Linked DNA regions of Lepisosteus oculatus. The protein of the gene in region 1 interacts with the protein of each later gene in a pairwise test. Links are inferred from orthologs where the notes say so. Each region holds a gene or a part of one and is shown on either strand. Other genes may lie near its edges. The genes, in order: hematopoietic prostaglandin D synthase, alpha/beta hydrolase domain-containing protein 17A and meltf.

Evidence for each region.
Region 2: the proteins of hematopoietic prostaglandin D synthase (region 1) and alpha/beta hydrolase domain-containing protein 17A interact in binary tests that used the Homo sapiens proteins (3 or more experiments, as listed by UniProt). The two-hybrid records come from large-scale screens. The link is inferred for Lepisosteus oculatus from reciprocal best matches to the Homo sapiens genes HPGDS and ABHD17A.
Region 3: the proteins of hematopoietic prostaglandin D synthase (region 1) and meltf interact in binary tests that used the Homo sapiens proteins (3 or more experiments, as listed by UniProt). The two-hybrid records come from large-scale screens. The link is inferred for Lepisosteus oculatus from reciprocal best matches to the Homo sapiens genes HPGDS and MELTF.

What each region holds. Positions count from the first base shown.
Region 1 is NC_090698.1:13,967,526-13,975,551, reverse strand, and holds the start of hematopoietic prostaglandin D synthase, read right to left. Parts: upstream 3,058-8,026; 5' UTR 2,988-3,057; intron 999-2,987; 5' UTR 992-998; coding exon 859-991; intron 1-858. UniProt on the Homo sapiens protein: Bifunctional enzyme which catalyzes both the conversion of PGH2 to PGD2, a prostaglandin involved in smooth muscle contraction/relaxation and a potent inhibitor of platelet aggregation, and the conjugation of glutathione with a wide range of aryl halides and organic isothiocyanates.
Region 2 is NC_090724.1:9,560,774-9,568,065, forward strand, and holds the start of alpha/beta hydrolase domain-containing protein 17A, read right to left. Parts: upstream 3,089-7,292; 5' UTR 2,422-3,088; intron 124-2,421; 5' UTR 120-123; coding exon 1-119. UniProt on the Homo sapiens protein: Hydrolyzes fatty acids from S-acylated cysteine residues in proteins. Has depalmitoylating activity towards NRAS. Has depalmitoylating activity towards DLG4/PSD95. May have depalmitoylating activity towards MAP6.
Region 3 is NC_090708.1:2,209,195-2,216,185, reverse strand, and holds the start of meltf (melanotransferrin), read right to left. Parts: upstream 3,028-6,991; 5' UTR 2,583-3,027; coding exon 2,534-2,582; intron 1,990-2,533; coding exon 1,835-1,989; intron 1,102-1,834; coding exon 1,002-1,101; intron 825-1,001; coding exon 639-824; intron 1-638. UniProt on the Homo sapiens protein: Involved in iron cellular uptake. Seems to be internalized and then recycled back to the cell membrane. Binds a single atom of iron per subunit. Could also bind zinc.

The DNA.
Region 1 (8,026 bases):
GTGTGTAAGAGCCGGCGTACCAGAGCGGGCGACGTCACTGCCCTTCCCTGTGATAGCAGGACCACAGCTACTGGGCTGTGGAGAGATCTCTCTTTAGCTCACGGGGCTAGGTCGCTGCAGAGAGACGCGGAAGTCCCCGGGTTCGAGCCTCCAGTCGGGAAGGGGCCGACCAGATGCGGCAAGGGCGCCCGCCTGAGCCCCCGTTGCGTTACAATATTTATAATTATGAATCCTATATTAATAATAATCATTTATTTGACCACTAAGAATATATTCTCATGTACAATGATGACTAGTATCCTCTTATATAACAGGGTATTACATGAGAACAGCATCTTGCTCAAGGAGACAACAGCAGAGCTCCATCTGGGAGTCAAACCTACAGCCTGCAACCCACCAACATTGCTTCACATTTGAGATGATAAGGTGGTATAAAGAGTTCCCAGCTACCTGTGCAGAGTTTAAATTGTGCTTTATGGATTTTTGCAATTGAAATGTGTTTGGCAGAGTTTATCTTGCATGTGTGGTGCTCGGATATTGTCTTCAAGAAAACTTTAACCCTCAACAATCAAAACATTATAGTAGTTATTGACAATGTGCTCCCTCTCCATAAACAAAATGAAACCAAGATTAACTGCAAGCTTAATTCATTGATAATGTCATTTCACATTAACTAAATCCTTACCAGCACATAAATTGAATTGTTCTAAATGAAGACAAACTAGTTGACAAAACAATGCAGCCTGCTAACATAACTTCTAATGTAAATTTCTGTGAAACTGCATTGTAAGGAGTTTCAGAGTAATGCATTCCTGCGATATATTAATGCAAGTAAAACACAGAGCGCAAGCTACTCACAGGGCTTGATGGAAGGCCAGTTATGCCATTCTATTCTGATGTCTTCGTAGGGGATCCCTGCATAGGCCAATATGAAGCGGGTCAGCTCAGCTCTCCCTCTCATGTTAAAGTAAGTGAGCTTGTAGGAAGCCATGCTTCTCCTAAAACCAATGAATAAGACACAGATCTCCACTATATATCAAAGACTGCATACTTTGCTCTATAGTGCGTGAATTAATGTGACGAAAAGCTCAAGAAACAGAGGAGGAAACTGGTTTTCCCAAGAAACACACACTTAACTAAAGTAAGATCAACGATCCATGCTTATGAACAAATGAGCAAATCTTTCAGAGGCCTGAGGGCTCATAACTGAAACCATCAGTGCGAAAGATTTTCATGATGCTTAAGAAATGCAAGGCAGGGCATGCCAAATACTACAATTATCTTATACTTATGTTTGTGCTGAAAAAATAATGTACAGAATTAGACAAATACAGTTACTGTATGGGATTACTATGTGTTATTTCCAACTTTATAGAGTATAATAAATATTGTTTAATTTGCCCTATTAATAACATTTTAAAAAGTTTCACATTTTTTGTTGGCTTCCTACTTGACAAATTCTAAAATGATACAAGCCGAAAACATTAGATTTAATAGGTAGTGAACTATCACTTCTGCTGACATAGCGAATAAGATTGTCTGGTGTCTGAAGGAAAGTTTCTAAAGAGGAAGGTTACTGTACACAGCACCCTCTGGTCAATAAATAACTTAGCAGCGCATCTCTTGTTGAATCATCTGAGAGTTTAAGGGAGGTGCAGGGTTTCCCTGCTCTTGGAAATGGCCCAGGCATCACGCCACTTTAAAGGCAGGGAGAGCCAAACAGCAGAAAGGACAAAGATGGGAGCAATTTCCCCTCCCAGTTTATCTGGTTCTGTTTCTCCACAGTCAGTAATGCTAACCTCTATGCTACCACACTGCCTTTTCACATGTGAGAATTAGCTTTGAAATGAAGCAGGCAATGGTCAGGGCTCTGGAAAGCTGTGGGTTCACACCCCAAGTGGAGCAGTGTTGTACCCTGGAGCAAGACACCGCACCCAGACATGCACAGCAGTACTGACGGGCACATGAGGAAGTCGCTGTGGATTAAGGGGCAAGGTGGATTAATCATGTGCATGTGTTGCACGAAAGCAAAAGTGTGCCTGAAGGAGCAAAGAGAAACAACTGAGGCATGATTGTTTGGAATGTAAGCAAATAGCAAGCTATTCACACGTCATCGGCTTGAGAAATCTTGGCAGTGTAATTAAATTAGTAGCACGTTGGGCGAGTTTTCTGGATGATTTAAACCTCAGAACTACTAGAATCTACCAGTGTGCCTTTGCCTCGAGGCCCCAGAGAGACCCCCCCCCCCCCACCATGAGGCAATAGAAGAGAAGGGCAGTGATAAAGGCCACCCTCTCACTCCTACAGTACTGCTGTAAGGAGCCTGAGTGGGGCCAACCCCACATATGTATGTACTGGTGGGATGGCAGAGAAACAGAAACATGCAGTAGAAACAGGGAAAGCAGGAGCTGGATGCCTAAAGCCACCTGAAATAGAGTCAGGATGAATCAAGGAAGCACCTGAGCTGTATCTGGCACCTGTCAGCACCCTTGAAACCTTCACAGCCCTGGTACCCTGGCCTGGGAGCACAGATATGACCACAGCAGTGAGTTTCAAGAACAGTGGCCTGTGCCGGAACAATAAAGCTATCCACTACTGTATGATGCAATGATGTAATTTGGAGGATTTTTTTTAATCTTTCCATTCCAATCTATTGTCCCAAAGATTCACTATCCTCCAAAAATTATAGAATGCTTGCAGGTGTACCAAGCAGCAACATTGTTGCTAGTTTCCCTTTGCAGTCATTTGTAACCCAGAATTCAAATGCATAGAAAGTTTGATTATATAGATATTTTTCTAACTTAAGTCACAAATCTCAGACCTATGTTCCTGATCAAAATGTAACAGAATTAAGACAATATCAAGGTAGTAAATGGGTTATAAACCACAAGGTAAGAAAAACATAGACTACAAGACAATATCATTAAATATATTTCATGAGGTGTTTTTTTCTTTTGCTGAAAGGTTGAAAAAGAGTGTTGACTTACAGATTCTGTATGCGGTTTCGTTGAGGTTTTGTTCCTCCTTTTAACTGAAGAAATACAGAAGTAGCCAGCTGCTTTTATAAGATGCCAAAGTCTTATCTCTGATGACACAACCTACATTTGAAGCATAAGGTGTCACGACAGCCCACAATCAGAATCCAACCATATGCCACCCTCGTAAGCAACCCCGAATTTTACCCAATCAGACTCCAGCTCTTTCCAATTCCAACTAACGCCATCGCAGTAACTAATCAGCCAACCAGACCTTTCTTTCATCACCCTCCCCACTTTGCCCTCAACACTCAGTAGTGGTTTTCATCTAGTTGAGCTTCCCTTCTCACTTTTGAGTTTCTTGTGATTTACCTTACTCCTGAATCTGTCTTTGACGAAGGTCTTTGATCTACCATTAATAGAGGCTCAGTAATCTATTACACTACAAGCCAGATGCATTTTAGTACCCTGTGCAGTGACTGACAGTAAAAAGGGGTACAGGAGTAGAACTTCTACTAGAACATTTTCTAGAAGGAAAATCTGAGTGTATTTATCTGAATTGTAGATCCTATGGAAGCCAGTTTCCACCAGGGAGTAAAGAAAAAGCACGCTATGCTATCTCGAAGTTTTGACTTTATATCTCAAAGTTATGACTTTGTCATAATTACGACTTCATATCTCGCAATTGCGTCTTTATCTAGCAATTACAACTTTTGTCTCATAATTTTGACTTTTTATCTCGAATTTGCGACTTCGAAATAGCCTACATTTAATTGTCCTTTTGTTCTATTCATAACTCATACAAGATCTATAGGCCTGAAGACTTGTCAAGTGCCCTGATAAAAATCGAATTAATGTAGGTTTACACTAATTTTTATGGAAGCCCATTTCTGCCAGTGAGGCTTCCATAGTAACTGAATGAAATAGTGGACGGTGGGCTTCTTTTGCCAGATGAGCAACCTGGCCTGGCTATGTTCATTGCTGGCACCAGAAGTGACGTCAAAATTGTGCGATATGAAATCGTAAATATGAGAAATAAGGTAGATATTTTGAGATATAAAGTCGTATCAGAAATGAGGTCGTTATTTTGAGATAAAAGGCTGCAGTTGTGAGATATAAAGGCGTAAACACGAGAAGTTGGAATTACGAGATTTTAAGTTGCAAAAAATCATAATTATGAAATATGAAGTCGAAACTGTGAGATATCATAGCGCGCTCTCCCCACCTTTTTTTTACTCTGGTGGAAACGGGCTTCCTTATAGATCAAAGGCCTTGGTCAACGACAGGTTCAGGAGTCAGGTAAATCGCAAGGAAGTCTCAAAAAACGAGAAGGGGAGTTCCGATAGGTGAAAACCAATATTGAGGTCAAAGGGTTGTAAGGGTAACCTGGGAAGTGGAGGGTGCGGTGATGAAAGAAAGGTCTGGGTGGTTGATTACTTACTGCGACGGTGTTTGTTGGAATTGGAAAGAGCTGGAGTCTGATTGGGAACAATGCGGGGTTGTTTGCGAGAACAGCGTATGGTTGGATTCTGATTGTGGGCGGTCGCGACATAAGGCACATTTAAAGTATGAAATAAAATCTAAAACAATACAAATGCAGATTTTCTAATCGCATGTTTTCCCTTATGGATAAGGTTTTACTTATCTTTAGCAGAGAGAACCATAAAAACAGCCTGTTCAGTGTCAAACACATGCAATTCACACATACTGTAAACAGTATCTACACAGCTAGAGCGCAATACGTACAGTAGGTTGTTTAGTTCTTTAGAATTTAGTGGTTCTCTGATGCTAAAAATGTAAACTGCATTGAAATGATGAACGTAAGAATATCTAGAATCTGTCATGAATATTTTTTGCAAAGCTTTATAATAGTAACAGCTACCTCACCCAGTCCGGAGTTACACTGTAATTGCTCCTTACAGTATGTGAGCCCTTATCCATAAAATCCAGCTCGTCGTTTCTGTGTGTTTTTAAAAGTTTAAAGGGAGGTAACAGGGTGCCCAGGAGAGTGAACAGTCCTGGCCCTTATTGTAAAATGTTTATATGAACAAAGTATTTTAACATTTTATAATCATTGGAGATTTCTTTGGGTGCTAGTAACTTTTTTTATACTGCTAGTAACCATGTTCCATTGTCAGGGAGTACAGTAGAACAGGGATTCTACAAATTCGTTCATGTGAGAAAATTGTGTTTCTTCCTTTAAATCAGGTGTAGTATACCCCTGCACAAAATCCAAACTGTCTTAATAGTACATGAACAACAGGAATTTGATGGACATTAATGAGCCAGAGTATTAACTGCTTCCTTGATCAAAAGAGCTTATGTAGCCTACAGAATGCACTCTTGAGTGCTGGTTACATGCAGTTTGCATAGAAATCAGTCACACTTCATATTAAAGTGCTCGTGTTTTTGTTAATGCATTCTACATATTATTATAAAATAATTTCAGACAGATTGTTAAAATGTAATATTTTCTTGACTTCTGAAAGCCATATTTTCATAATATGTTAACATTATTACTGAGGTTTTAAGAATTTTTAAGACATTTCATAGCTTTTTCATTGACTATTTATGGGTAAAAAACTGATATACTGTAATATCAAACGTCGAGGGTGTACCCTGCCTTTTGCCCGATGCTTTCAGGGTAAGGCTTCAGTTCCCCCATGACCCTGTATTGAATAAAGTGGTAGGAAATGGATGGATGGATGGATTCCAGGACAATAATTGTGTGTCCACACCACAGGTAATGTACCACCATTTGTACAGTTGATAGTGTAAATGACCAAAACCTGAAAACACTCAAATGAAAAGTATGCTGTGAATAAAGTTCACAAATATGTTTGCTACTGGAGAAATAATAACAGTATCAGCTTCAGTCAGCTCTCCTGTGTCAGCAGGCTGTTCTCTTGAAAGTGACAAATAAAGATGAACTCCCATCTGGAGCAGACTTTGTGACACCTTGGCACACCTAAGTAACCTTCAGCTGGTATTGACAGACAGTAGCTCTTATTGAGTTTCATGGAATGGCAATTATGTGCCTTATTGATTTCTTATTAAACACTTACTTGACTTTTAGTTGAGTTGGGAATTCTTTTTTTTTCATTAAATAAAAGGCACCTTTAAGTAATATGTTTTATTTTTCTGAATACAAATTTCTGGTTTTTTATGTACTCTGGCATTCTTTTTCTGCGTGAGTGGTCCAGCTTTATACATACCTGTATGAAAAACAAAACTGTATTGTGAAACAGGATTGAGAAGAAAGGTCCAGTTTCTGTAGGGTTGCTTTACCACTATGGAACAACTGGTCAATAGAGTCTTCTGGTCTGCATTTCACCCCAGCTTTTAGCTACTTTACAGGAATCCTGAAAAGTCCAGATTACAGTACCATGATCTTTAGCCACTGATTAAGGATGCCTGCAGAACCCAAAGACCTGGCGCAAAGGACCAAGTGACATCCTGAGCTCTTCACAGGGCATGTCAGTCTGAACCTGTGACACCACAGTGGCAGCAGTCTGTATGTTGCACAGCGGAACTGTTAGACATTTCACTTTTTTTTTCTTTTTTGTGGGCTCTTATCGATTTGTTTAAAAAGGAGAAGGAAAAAATGTGAAATAAGTAAATATCTATTATCTCCTAAGGCGTACAGTATTACAGTACTTCTTTAGATGCAGATATTTAACAGATATATAACAGATACTGTATTTATTCTAGCATGTATAAAATTGGAACTGTTGTGCTCTGAAAGGTTTAGTTGTACAGATGTAGCTCTTTCAGACCAGTAATCAGTTCAGTTGAGGAACTGCCACTTTGGAGCTCACGACAATATACACCACACAGTTCAGAAGCAACAAGAGAGACCAGTAAGGCCAATAAGACTAAGCTAAAATAGGTTTCTTTATAAACAAACTGAAATACAGGTTCTATCCTAGCCTGTAGAGCAATGGTCTCTAACCTTGATCATGGAGATATCCAGTCTTTTGGTTGTTGGATAGAGATTGTGGTAATCTTCATGAGAATTATGTCAATACCTTGTTTAAATTAAGTAAGGAAGAGGTGGTCTAAAGTGCATAACAGAGGACTCTGTAACACCCTGGAATCAAGGACGATGACCCCTAATATACAGCAAAGCCCACAATAAATGATGGTTCTTTTCAAATCAGTGCCCCACTGAAAGTACATCAGACAACTGTCTTTGATATTTCAAATGCACTATGATTCATATGTATTTGTGTATGGAGTGAAAAGTGGTGTGGGCAGTGAAATGGGAATGATTTGAGGAAAAACCAGGTGTATTAAGAGCCAATGTCTCCAGGACAGTTTTGTGGTTCTCTGTCCTGTCTACTGTACATCAGTGCAGCTTTAGAAAAAAAGAGTGCAGTGTACAAGACAAAAACCTACTGATGGCTTCTGATTCTTGACCGTTTTTACATGGATGTGTTCAAAAGTATATTGTTTCTGTCACATAAATGATCCAACATAATGAGTTTCTGCTTAAACCTTTATACATCTGGCTCAGTAGTATTCTCTTGACCCCAACAGAGACTGGAGTGTGTTCCATTGCTGGAGCTGTACCTGACCACCATCCTGACCTTCAGAAGGTTGCTCAAAAGTCTACACCAATTGAGATAACAAGTGTCCAAGTCTTTACTGTTTGGAGCTGATCACCCTTGTGTTCAGACTGAAAACAAAAGGGCTAGTGTGCTTGTCACAGTATGCTTCGAAGGTTATGTGTTTTTTAGAAACTAAGTGTCAACACTACAATGTTTTCAGTGTTTCTTACACTGATCACCAGTCTGTTTCCTGTTGTTTCTGGAAAGGAACAGAACTTAGAAAGCACAGTATTTCGTTTTTTTATTAAATGCCTGTCCTGCTGCCACCTGGAGGTGATGTGGAAACCTATTCTCTTTAAAATGCTAATATGACCTAGTAATTATAATTTAATATTCTTACAATAAAATATCTCTAAATATGTCATGGGAGCCACTGGGAGAAAATATATTCAAGGAGAATTGGAGTGAGTGGAATATATTCTGAGTTAACTGTCAATAACA
Region 2 (7,292 bases), on another chromosome or scaffold:
TCAGGCAGCAGGGCATAGGTGGGCTCAGGGGGCAGGAAGGCCAGCTTGGCGGCGATGCGGCTGGGGCAGGGGGGGCAGCAGAACAGGCAGCACAGCTCGCTGACGGACAGCCCGTTCATGGCCCTGCAGGACAAAGCACAGTACTCAGGACACACTGTGGTCAGGGCTGGCCACTGGACAGCAGTGCAGGACAGTGTGGTAGCTGTGCACAAGTACTGTACAGTACAGTACAATACAGTATACTGTACACCAGTACTGTACACACAGTACTGTACAGTACTGTACAGTACAGTATACTGTACACCAGCACTCCACAGTGTAGAACAGTACAGTACACTATACAGCAGTGCAGGATGGTGTGGTAACTGTGCACACAATACTGTACAGTACAATACAGTATACTGTACACCAGCACTCCACAGTGTAGAACAGTACAGTACACTATACAGCAGTGCACGACAGTGTGGTAACTGTGCACACAGTACTGTACAGTACAATACAGTATACTGTACACCAGCACTCCACAGTGTAGAACAGTACAGTACACTATACACCAGTGCGGGACAGTGTGGTAACTGTGCACACAGTACAGTACAGTATACTGTACACCAATACTCCACAGTGTAGAACAGTACAGTACACTATACACCAGTGCGGGACAGTGTGGTAACTGTACACACAGTACTGTACAGTACAGTATACTGTACACCAGTACTCCACAGTGTAGAACAGTACAGTACACTATACAGTATACTGAGTACAGTGTGGTAACTGTGCACACAGTACTGTACAGTACAGCAGTGCAGGACGGTGCAGGACGGTGTGGTAACTGTACACACAGTACTGTAGAGTACAGTATACTGTACACCAGTACTCCACAGTGTAGAACAGTACAGTACACTATACACCAGTGCAGGACGGTGTGGTAACTGTGACCACAATACTGTACAGTACAGTATACTGTACACCAGCACTCCACAGTGTAGAACAGTACAGTACACTATACACCAGTGCGGGACAGTGTGGTAACTGTACACACAGTACTGTACAGTACAGTATACTGTACACCAGCACTCCACAGTGTAGAACAGTACAGTACACTATACACCAGTGCGGGACAGTGTGGTAACTGTACACACAGTACTGTAGAGTACAGTATACTGTACACCAGTACTCCACAGTGTAGAACAGTACAGTACACTATACAGTATACTGAGTACAGTGTGGTAACTGTGCACACAGTACTGTACAGTACAGCAGTGCAGGACGGTGTGGTAACTGTACACACAGTACTGTAGAGTACAGTATACTGTACACCAGTACTCCACAGTGTAGAACAGTACAGTACACTATACACCAGTGTGGGACAGTGTGGTAACTGTGCACACAGTACAGTACAGTATACTGTACACCAGTACTCCACAGTGTAGAATAGTACAGTACACTATACAGCAGTGCAGGACGGTGTGGTAACTGTACACACAGTACTGTACAGTACAGTATACTGTACACCAATACTCCACAGTGTAGAACAGTACAGTACACCATACAGCAATGCGGGACAGTGTGGTAACTGTGCACACAGTACTGTACAGTACTGTACAGTACAGTATACTGTACAGCAGCACTCCACAGTGTAGAACAGTACAGTACACTATACACCAGTGCGGGACAGTGTGGTAACTGTGCGTACAGTACAGTACAGTACAATACAGTATACTGTACACCAGTACTCCACAGTGTAGAACAGTACAGTACACTATACAGCAGTGCCAGACAGTGTGGTAAGTGTGCACACAATACTGTACAGTACAGTATACTGTACACCAGCACTCCACAGTGTAGAACAGTACAGTACACTATAGAGCAGTGCACGACAGTGTGGTAACTGTGCACACAGTACTGTACAGTACAGTATACTGTACACCAGTACTCCACAGTGTAGAAAAGTACAGGACACTATACAGCAGTGCAGGACAGTGTGGTAACTGTGTACACAGTACTGTACAGTACAGTATACTGTACACCAGTACTTCACAGTGTAGAACAGTACAGTACACTATACAGCAGTGCAGGACCATGTGGTAACTGTACACACAGTACTGTAGAGAACAGTATACTGTACACCAGCACTCCACAGTGTAGAACAGTACAGTACACTATACAGCAGTGCACGACAGTGTGGTAACTGTGCACACAGTACTGTACAGTACAGTACAATACAGTATACTGTACACCAGCACTCCACAGTGTAGAAAAGTACAGGACACTATACAGCAGTGCAGGACGGTGTGGTAACTGTGCACACAGTACCGTACAGTACAGTACAGTATACTGTACACCAGTACTCCACAGTGTAGAACAGTACAGGACACTATACAGCAGTGCAGGACGGTGTGGTAACTGTGTACAGTTAATTACCTGGTGTTATTTCCGCAGGAGACTCTACAAAAACCCCGTGAAAGACAGCGCGCGAGCAAGAACGTCCCGAGAGGCGCAGCATGAACCCCAGTCCGGCTCGCGGATATACGGGGCTCCGTCACTCGCAGCGGGTCCTACTGGGCAGTGTCGTGGGGACTGGTCCACACCGGAGCCATTGTTTCAAGACCGACTGGCGGTGGCGACAGGGAAGACACGCCGGGCTTCGGCTGCGGTGTCGAAATTAACATCCAATTCTACTCGTCCAACCCTAACCGGTCCGCGGATGGCGGAGATCCCGCACGGTTTCCCGCAACCGAATCGCAAACTAAAACAACACGCGGATTGATTAAAAGTGATTTATGCTACAGCGATAACGAAAAAAAACGGCAAAATAATATCAATTTAGAAACAAACACTGCACACGTCTGGTGTCCAGGCGAAGCAGAACCGGCGGGCCGTCAGACACCGAGTCGAAGCGCGATGCTGCTCCAGGTCTGTGATACAAACATGGAGACGCGGGACGAGCAGCCCTTCCCGTCCACACGGCGACACAGACCCAGAATCCCGGCACCAGGGTTATTTCGTACAGAATTTCATTTCTCCTTCTTCACTCCTGCGCCGCCGTCACCGGATGTGACGCAACCAGGACGTGACGGAAGGAGGCTCCGCTGCACGGGAACAGAGTCCGTCTCGCGGCTGCCGGGGCTGATCGGGGCAGGTGAACGGGAGTCTAATCCGGTTAACGGAAATGCTCCGCAAATGTTTACACTGGGGAGTCAAGACAGCTTGGTCGGACAGAGAACTGGAAACAGACAGGGGGTCTCCTGGCTCCACTGTACCCTTCCGTTACCCTGTATCCCCGATTCCTGACTGTCGCAGTAACGGGGGGACACGGTCCGACCCCCATGAGTAGAAAAATAAAAGTCCCTTCCTCAGCCGGCACAATGCTTTCCGTCATGACCAAAAATGGACTTTTGTTAAGTCATGAGACCCTTCACACTCCGTGTTAGCAAAAAGATGATAGAAAGAGGAAGAGGAGATACTTGTCCGCATATAGCGCCAACCTGAACAGCACTGCTTCACTGTATAATGTTTCTTTATTAGCCCTATACAATTTCTTGCATTAGAAATTCGTCTTTTCGCATACCACAGCTTTTTCTCCAAGGAGACAAAGACACACAGAAAGGGAGAGAAGCTTGGGGTCAGAGCACAGGGTCAGCCATTGTACGACGCCCCTGGAGCAGTTGGGGTGAAGGGCCTTGCTCAGGGGCCCAATGGAGTAGGATTCCTCTGCCGGCCGCGGGATTTGAACCGGCAACCTTTCAGTCACAGACGCAGATCCTTAGCCACAGAGACACCGTGGCACCCTCTCCTAGGGCCGTGTACAGATTAAAAAGCAATGACGCAATAAGAAAACAATATCGGTGTTAAAAACCAGGCCAGCTTTCTTCAGAACAAAACAATTGTTAGTTTTAATTGGGTGGTCTGATACATGGCAGGTAGGGAGAGCAGGAGAAGAGGAGAGACAGCAGGGATACCTAGGGGGTGAGGGGAGCTGATTCACACCTCCAGCATAAACAGATCACCCGAGATACCCAACACCACGGAAACTGCAGAGGCTGAGGCAGAGAGAGAACATCTGTCTCCTGATCAGCATCTCCGCAGCATCTTGGTTCAGGGAGTTCAGCTTTCGTGAACATGTATCGCCTACATTCGAGAGCAGCGACAGGCTCACACGCACAAACAGGCAGGCAGACAGGAAGAGAGATGGCCCACGTTTCCTGCTCTGTTCTTATATTTTTCTAAAACACCAATAAAGGAACAGCAGTAAAACCCTGACTGTTCTGTTCCCCAGAGTCTGTCCCAGAAGCACAGGGCGCAGGTTGGGAGTTCACCCTAGTCAGGACACCAGCCCATCGCTGGGCAGGTTCGCATGCAAACATGCAAACTCTGCAGAGAATGTGCCCCAATCAGGACTGAAACCCAGGACTGCAGAGCAGCAGAAATAACCAGGATACCACCAGCCACCCCAAAACCCTTGAAACCTTTGGTGGCAGGTGGTATGCTGGTTATTTCTGCAGGCAGGGTTTCAGCATTCAGCTTCTCCCTTCTCCTGTATCTGTCTGATTTAGTGCTCCAATTGTCCCTCCCTTCAGCACTGTCACACCTGCGGTGGTTTTGTTTAGTTTAGTGTTTCAGCCTGAGGTGTCAGGATCCAGAAGCAGTGACACCCAGATCTCAGGTATCCTGTAAAGATATGGGACTGGGAGACTGAGGGAGGGAGAGAGGGAGTCGGAGATGGAGCAGAATAAGGGAAGAGGGAGAGAGTCAGAAGTTGGAAAAGAAGATTTTACCATAAAGTGAACTAGACAATTTCAGTCTTCTAGAGGATACTGAAATATAACGTGACACTACAACAACTATTCTTACATTGTTAGACATAACCATGCCCTCAACCACCTTCAGCTCAGATCCGAACCCCTGGTCTGGGAGCACACGTCCCGAGCTGGCTGGCGCCTCGTGGGTTAAACCATCCCGAGCCCTCACTGCAGGAAGAGGAACAAACAAGCTTGATGAATTGGAAGGAGGCGCCGCAAGCCAACTGTGCCGTCTGCTGATGTGGCACCACGAAGCCCTCTCTGGCAGCTGTGGTACAGCCACACCTCCACCCAGAGGGCGCTGCTGCATGGCACCTTTCAAACGAGGAGGCCCGGTCCCTGCTGCAGAGCAGGAACTCGGCCTGGAGCAAGGTCTTCGCCAGTACAGAGCTCTGCTCACTGCACTGCAGCCCCTCAGATCAAACATCTGTGGAATGTGGGTCTGCGTGCTCACAGACCGCTGCCATTTTACTTGTCGTTGCCTCGACCAGAGTAGCAGAAGGACCAGAACATCTCCCCTCCCCCTCCCCCGTTCGCTCACTCTGCAGCTCCCGACACCTGGATCCCAGCTGCAAACCATTTCTCCAAGCTGGTTAATCGGAACCAGCGCCCAGGAATAATGGACCACAAAGTAAAGAGAACACAGCCATTTAAATTTAAAATAAACTTTGTGATTTTATTTCATACTTGGAAGTCATACAATCCTAAAGGAACAGGTGTCTTCCCTGGATGGTGAAGGAGGACAGGGGCGGTGTGGGGTAGGGGTCTGACGAGGGTCTTCTGGGGCCACAAGTCATTTTCCCTCAGGAGCCACATCTAGCTGAGGCAATTAGTCTTAACTGGACCAAATCAGCCCTCGTCCTCCCAGGGGCTCAGCTGCCGGTTTGCAGAGTCTGGAGAACTGTGAGTCTCCAGCACCAGAGATCTCAGTGCAATCAGTGGCTGAAAATCTGCTTCACCTGAGCTAATTAAAACAATTACCTCCTCACAATTAAAACAGTTACATTTACAGATGAGGTGCAGCCCCTGATCACACTCTCCCCCCACGTCTTCTCTGGCGGTCTGTGTACGTATCCTTAACTCCACCTGATCTCCAGCAACCAAGAAAGTGGGAGTCTTTAAAGCAATTATGGCTCAATTAAAATTAAAGCACCAGAGAGACAGCCCGTCACAGAGATGAGCTGAAAGGACCCAGGGCGCCCCTTCCCCATGTTGTAACAAAGCACTATTGAGTCTGATTTAAAAAATCTAATTGCTGTGCTGGATATCCATAAGACTGAAGCATGTTCTAGATTCTCTATTGTTGTTAATATACATGGAAAGGAAATACACCAATTTAGGAAAACTGAGGCACTCCAGAACCTCATTCCTCTGTCCTGGTGCCGGAGCCACAGGGACAGGTTTCCCTGAGCTCCTGACGGATTCCCCGAGTCGGTGAAAGAACTGGTGCCGGTACTGCCGAGTCCAGAGGCAGCCCGGCTGTGGGCTTTCACTTCCCCAGCAGTCTTGGCAGGGCTGTGCTCCTCGGCTCCACGACAGAAGAGCCCGCTCTGCGGTCCAGGACAGATTCTACTGGCAGAATATAATCCTCCTGCTGGCTCCACAAGTTTAAACCAACCTCCGGAAGCAGGAGAGGACACAGGCTGCTTGTGACCCCGACACCTAGAGCAGCTCCTGAGGCAGAGCACGTTAGTACTGCGGTGTGGAAAAACAATGTGCTTCTGCCCCTTTTTAATCAGAATGCAGCCCACAGTTCAAGAAACTGTTACACACAACCCATATCCTCCCGTTCACACCAACCAACTCAACAACAAAATAAATAAAACGCAATCACACAGTCCAAGCTAACTACAATATATTAATATAGATCCTCTGGTGTCATACGCTCATTAAAACAGGAAAAATGAAAGAAGCACAGGACCTCAATCACAAGGCTGCCCAAGCCCAGCCCTTCACATCCGGCAACTGCACGCACTCACAGTATCAACAGAAAAGCAAACTGAAAGCAGAGACTGGGGGTTACCGATCAACTCCACCTCTAACAGCGTGAGGGGGACCGAGCTCCACTACGCAGGGTTGGGGGGTTGGGTGTTTCGCCTTCTGCACCCCAAGTCAGCAGGCACTCACAGCACAAAAACCTCCCTCCACACAGGATGCCCCTGTGAGAGCATGGGGTGGGGGGGGTTTCCGTGATGCATGGCGCACTGGGGCAATGCTGGGGTGGACTGACCCCTGAGCCCATTCTGAGGAACAGTCTGATCCCCTCCACTCCAGGACACCAGCCCAGGCTCGGGCTGCGCTCTGCGAAACACACTGGCCTGCTCCACAAATCCCACATGAATCCCTTATCTGTCATTTTGTTAATATTGCAGAAAACACCCTCTCCACCGCGACCCTGTTCAATACCACTCGCCCCAGTCTCTGAATCTGTAAGATCCAGGGCCCAGTAGCACAGCCACGCCCCCAGAGGACACACGACCAGGACACCCCCCC
Region 3 (6,991 bases), on another chromosome or scaffold:
GGGGTCTGCATCACGATCGTAATCCCTCCTCTTAAGAGCGCGCCGGCTCTTTCTTATTTTGCTAATTAGATGCCCCTGCCCCCAGTCCTGCCCCTCCTGGCTCTTGCTACTCCTGGCTCTGCACTGGAAGACAGACGCCCGGAGGCCCGCCTACCACCAAGTCGCCCTACGCCCGCGGCTTGAGGGCACAGGCCTCCTATCAGTGTCCTGACCAGCTGCGTCCGGGGCTCGGAGCGCCTGGCCTCGTCATCCTGTTTTTATTCCCCTGTCCCTGTACCGGGTCCCGTTCCGGTTTTCAACTCTGTTTTGTCCCGTCTCGGTTGGATCACCCGGCTTTGGACTTTTGGACTTCGCCCCAGATTTCCCCCCTGGACTCCTTGGACTTGTTCGCCCTGGCCACGCCCCCCGAGCACCAGCTCCCCGTCGTCACGCCCCCCTGTCTGTCACCCCCTCCTGACCCTCGTCGTCTCCTCCCCGTCCTCCTTTTCCACTCACTCCCGGATCATACCGTCTGCACAGGGTCCTGAACTATGCTTCAAGGGAGCCCGGAGCGGCTCTCATTACACCCGTGCGCTGACAGAGGAGGACCGGGCCTGCTGCACCGGGTCCAGGACTAGGCAACGAAACACCTGCTCTACCTCTCTTGATGTCGCAGCCCATGACGGACATGCGGCCGCTGTCGATCAGCAGGCCCAGGGGCATGTTCCAGCCCGCCGTGCGGCCCAGGCCCGTGTGGCAGGACCTCTTCCCCGCCAGGCTGTCGATGTTGATGCCGGTGCTGTTCCGCCACACCACTGCCACGGCGTAGTAGGTGGTCCCCACCTCTGCAGGAGAGCACAGGTCGTTACTCAGCCCCTCCAGACCCCCGCCCCGCGACACGCTGGGACAGAACCGGGGGTACAGAACAGGTTCCTGCCTTGCACCCATGCGCGTGCAGTTCGCCGGGGGGTTGGCGGCGAACGGGGCGAGCCGACGCCACGTCGGAACACTTCACAAGTTACCTTCTCCGTATGTCTCTGCCACGGCGGTTTTGAACTTGTACTGCTTCCCGGCTTCATAGATATCTTTGCCACTCAGGGTCACGGCATCCGCTTGATTGCCCTGAGGAAAGGAAGGCCACAGTGTACAGTACTACCCACTCAGTAACAACAAAAACAACAATAATCCTCCTCCTCATCATCTATATTCTCATCCATGTAGCGTTTTTATCCTAAAGGATCCTGAAACACGTCACGTGCTGTTCAGGACTGGACCCACTTCACCCACCCAGCAGAGAGGCACAGGGCTGCCGGGAGATGGGAGAACTCACTGTGCCGAACAGACAGGGGTGAACCATATGGAGGCCAGACTGTATTTGGACACATGGGATAACACCACCCTTACTCTCATTGAAGACACCCTTCATCATGTCCAGTTTCGGAAAACTCTTAATAAAAGAACAGGTTTTATTGGGTGTTTTTATATTCTGCATTATAGATGCATGAGTTCCCTGGCCACACATACAGCACACTCAGGGACTATGCATATCTATATATATCTAAGTTAATCGTCACTAATTTAAACTGCTATGGAGGAAAGACAGTTAATAGAAAGTTAAATATAAACATTCTGAATCAGAACCTTCTGACAGAAGGCAAAGACGGAATCGCACCGGTCTTTGCACACAGTCCTGTGCGAGTTCCGGGTTCGGTAGCTTCTCAAAGTACCTTTACACTCCTAATTTCATTTTTTAAAAACAAAACCAAAAGAGCGTATCCGGATTCAGGATACCAGGTGTTTCGGGACCCGTGCGATGGAAGCAGTAAACGCAAACGGGGGGTCCGGCTCCACGTACCGACACTTTGGCGGCGCAGTCGAGAGCCGAGGCGCCGGTAACGCATCGCAACTCCGGGCGGACTCCGCCTTCCCTGAAGGCCTTGGACAGGTCCTCGCACTTCTTGCGCTCCGGGTCCGACACTGTGCACCACCGCACGGTACTCAGGCCTACAACTGAGCACGGGGGGGGGGAACAACAACATTCTTTGCACTTTTCTATTCACATTAGAAATGATTCAATAGAAAAGGGTTTTCATTCTGAACAGCAGATGTGTTTTTACACCGCCCACCTGTGTAAATACAGGGTCATGGAACAAGGTCAACCGGCAAAAAAGATTTTTCAAACCTAGCCTAAAAACAAGAATTGGTGTTTGTTTTGTGTAAATTATGTTATTTTACTTTGAAATCAGCCGTTGGGCGCTGACAACAAACAACGACACATCTCTCCAATGTGCGCCAGTACCCGCCGTGAGACACCGACTTTCAGATCCCCCAGAAATAAAGCACTGATCTTCACAGACCACGGCAGTCTAATGCGACGAATTTACATCCAGCATTTATTTGCCAACGGTGTTTAAACAGACACCACTACACCCCCCGATCCCCGCCAACAGGATATTCTAAAACTCCGTAAAAGACTCATTTTGCAATTTATCCTCCTGAACGCCTAGGTTCTTGTCTGTTGCTCGGCCAACAGAGAACTGCCGCGAAATCTCACCGGCCTGGAGGGTGAAGAGACCCCAGCAAATCGTCGTCCAAGCGATCATGGTGATGGACGAGCGCAGAGCTGGCACTGGCTTTTATCCTCTCGAGTCACACCGTCTTACTGCGCCCAGACCCTCCCGGGTTCAAAAGTGCAAACTCCACTAGTCCGCAAAGAGCGAATCCGCATTTTCAGCACAATAATCATAAAGTTTTATGATGGTCCTGCCACGGTTTTCCTCCTGCGCAACTGCCCGCTCATGCTGAATTCTGCACGAAGTCAGTAAGTCCGGACACACCCCCACCGTAAAACCGCAAGTCTGAAGAGCTGGAGTCTGTCCAGAAACCCCAACACAGAAGGCTTTATGTGGCCGTCGGCCCAACGAGACATCCAGGTGTGCCGCCTGCACAGTGGAACAGGGCAGCCAAACAGAAAGACCAAAAGGGAAGATTAAAATAATTGCCGAGGCATGAAGGAAACGGCAACAGTCAAGCAACAGAAAGCACTTGAAGTACTTGCAGTCATAGCCCCACATTCTCGGTGTGTTTCCACCCACAAATTCTGAGGTAGTTCGCTAGGTTTTTCTTCATCCGTGACACTTTGAATCTTCACTCGGTTAATGCCTAAAATACCTACAGATCTTCAGTTCATGGAGACTCAAAATGAAAAACCCCAGAGTGTTTACGATCCCTGCTCTGTGGTTTATGATGGAGAACGACTCTTCCAGAGACGGACACTTAGAGAACCATGTTCTTTTGGGAAAAATACATGATATGGTCTTCATGACCAGGAGAAAGCAGGGCTTGTATTTGTGTGTCTGGTTTTTAATTAACAACACACTCAAATTATTTCATGGAACATTTAATCACCTGCTTAACAGAAGACAGCAATGCAACAATTACCTACTGTAGTAGCTATTCCTACCAAACTCTCATCTCCCTCTGTGTCTGTGCAGTAACCTACAATACACACCAACCTGTCAGCCTGTAACTACTTCTGAAATAAGACTAATAACGATTGCAGTTCAAAATCAGCTTATGGTACCATCTTTTGAAAATCTAATAATTCTCTGCAAACATTCCCGTTATTTCACGAAAACTAACCTTTCAGTACATTTTTGCTGCATGTATCACATACGACACTATTGAACAATGTAAAATACTGTTTTTAGAAACTGCCACGCATGAGACGACGTGAAAACAATTACTTAATAAGGCCCTGTGTATCTCGTCTGTTTTAGCGATTATAATTATAAGTTCAAGCTCACAATAAACGCGTATAGTGCTGCCAAATGTCTCATCAAAATCCCCCCCAGCCTGTCTCTGTTGGGTTGGGTCTATCCGTCTCTGATCCCGGAAAACCCACACAGGACCCAGGGCAGCTGGTGAAAGCTCGGCTAGAAAGTTAAAGTGCGTGACCCGCTCAAACCTGTTTACTCTATATTTCTGTCCCGTCTTTCCTACTCACAAGAAAGTGTGCTGGTCTATGGGGAGCGGATAAGGAACCCGATCAGAAATGCCCCCGCTACAAGCTGAATAGTCTCGCAAATGGTAAATGACGACGCCATCCTCACGGCGCTTTCAATAGTGGTTACCTATTTGACTCCGCGTTTCACTTATTTTTACTATTCATTACACGTATCCGTTTGATTGGTACAAGTCGTGATACCGTTTGAGACCTTTTGACTTAACTAGCTCAGAATCACAGTGAAACGCGCCTGTCCAGAATCACATTGTTTTAGAAGTGATCGAGATGGCCACGTCTATCCCCGGAGGCGACAATAAAAGTTTAGATTTATCTTTACATGTTTCAATGTATTAAGAACACATTTTAATTAGTATCGAGATGAAGTTGTCGGTCTTCATTGGACAAAATGTTTTCTGATGAGTGTTAACCGTGATCTTGGAGACTCGACGTTAATCAGTAATGGGGTTCTGTGTTGGGGGTTCGGGAAGCTTAATCTGATGGTCGATCCTCTGTTCACTTTCCTGCCCTAACTAATGCTAGACAGGGCACGTTTGGATAACCGGTGATCAAGTGTCGAAATAGTTAAGTGGTCAGTTTGGTTGCTTTGTGTCAAACTATGGAAGTCTGGGATCTCTTGCCGACAGTCTTTTGCATCGCATAAGTGAAATTCTAGGGTTTTATTGGTCATATAATTACAAGAGAACTCCTCATTCACTAAAGCTTCGTTTTCTTTAGAGGATCAACCTCCTGGTTAGATCATACCGTAATTTCTGGTGAGCCGACACTGCTCTTTATGTAGGTTAGGGTTGGCCTGAGTTTTCACTGATGGTAGTTCATCTTTCTTCTGTCGTCGTACGGGAAGATGAGCAGACTCGCAAACGGGGAGTCGTGACGCTATCCTCAGAGTAGAAGGAACAGGGCTTTGAATGCGATGCGTTTGATGTACCGTAGAGATACAGCAGCGTTGCATGAGATACAAACTCTGCAATTCTCGAAGTGACCCATTGCATAGATGGTCTGTATCTATATATAGTTACTCCTTGCATATATTTGCCATCATTTTAAGAGTCGAAAAACTCGCAAAGCACACAAACTCCATGTGTAGCTCTGCACGTATTTCCAATAAGCCCGTGTCATTGACATTTTCAGCAACGATGGAGACGAATTAAGAGCGCAGAGGCTAAAAAGCCGTGCTGTTAAAAATGGCATCTGGATGGGCATTTGACGTCTTTTCACAAGACACGAACAGAGCACGTTAATATGTTACCGTATTCGCTTCACACCCTGTCCAGTAAAATTAGGTTTTGGAAACTGCTCGGTGTTGAGCTAGAGGGAGCTCATATTTTACAGGGGCACTGGGACATAAGACAAGTAGATATAGAAATACAGCTGATATGACCTTAAACGTTAGTGTGGTTTAAGGCAACGCGCGTCATCTGAGCGGGTGAGCTGTTCTGAAACGGACTCGGCTCGAAACCGCCGCGCACGAACACGACCAGTGCATCTTTGTCACTCCGGTTTCTAAACGCTTTCAGTTGCAAAGCAGCAGCACGTTGAGATTTCTCGTCTCGTCGGAAAACTCCGAAGGGGCCGCATCAAAGTGACCAAATAAATAAAAAAAAAACAAGTTTTGATGTACACAGACCATAATCTGAAACAGTAGTAGCGCTCATGGGTTTGCGCTGCACCAGGCCACTTAACCGAACTGGAGTGTTCGAGGTCATCACAGTGCCCCAAGGCGCGGACCTCTGGTATCGATTGGTCCCCCTGTGACACTGTAACACCTGCGCAGGTGCTTGTTCTGTTTATCCTCTAGTCAGGGGGGGGTTCGGGTGGTCGCTTTCCTGAATCCCGGAGTTCTTGGGTAGTCAGGATCAATGACACGTACGACAGGAGGGCCGAGGAGTGAAACGTGGTCACCTCGTGATGGTTTTCTCAAAGACCATTTGACACCTGACAAGGAACAAAAAAAAAAACCCCTCAGAACCACTGATAAACTTCAAACCGCGTCTGACCGCAGCGGTATGACGTGCACGGCTCCGCAATGCCCCCTTGCGCTCACTCGGTGTTGTGTAAGGAAAAGCGCGGAGGACGCCCCTTGTCGGGCAAAGCATGTAACATGTTTTAGCAGGCAGAGGACGTCAGCTGAGCAGGCGAGAGCCCCTCAGACGGCTCTGTGGCCCGTGTTGCGATGCGCCATCCAGTGGATTAATTACGTGCCCCCTGCTGTAAAATTCCCTCAGGAGAGTTCCTCGTAATGTCCGCGGTCACCTGGAAACCGCCTCCCTGGCTCGCAAAGCGCTGAAATCGTTAGATTAGCTGCTGTGCTGGGTGTGTATCGAAGAGGGGCCCCGTTAGAAGGGGAAACAGCTCTGCGGGGAGAATGAAGCTCATGGTACAGTCTCAAACAAACTTGTTAGGACTGTTCGCTCTTAGACCGACGGTGCGTTTGGCTGGTTTAAGAACAGAAAATCCTGGACTTGGCCTAAACCAGAAATAATAACCGAAAGCTTCATTACCGAAAACCAAAACTCTCCCTTGTCGAAAACCGAGTCGTTTAAAAAGAGAAGCACAAGGAAACGAGGCGATTTGCTCCCAGAGAGTGGTCGAGGCCGTCTCTGCCGGAACAGTGTGCAGCTTAACTGTCTGAACCCAAGTGGTTTTAAGACTGCAGGGAAAAAAAGGGAGAACTTTTACACAGCATTCAAGGCGAAATTGTGAACTTCCCGAGATGGAGTACAGGGTATCGCCGACAGCGTGCCACGCTGTACCGTACGAGCAGGAGGGCGTCGGGGAGGTCATCAGGGAGCAAAGCAGCGAGCTTCTCTAGGGCTTTGAGAAACCGCTTAATTATATTTGCTTACACTTCTATAGCTCTTACCTGGACACTCAAAGTACTTTACAGTTAATGCGTACCTGGATGACGCGACGTCAGCTAGTCCGCTCCCCACACCCCAGCTCTCAGTGGGGAGGAGAGCAGAGTGATGAAGCCAGTTCAGAGAGGGG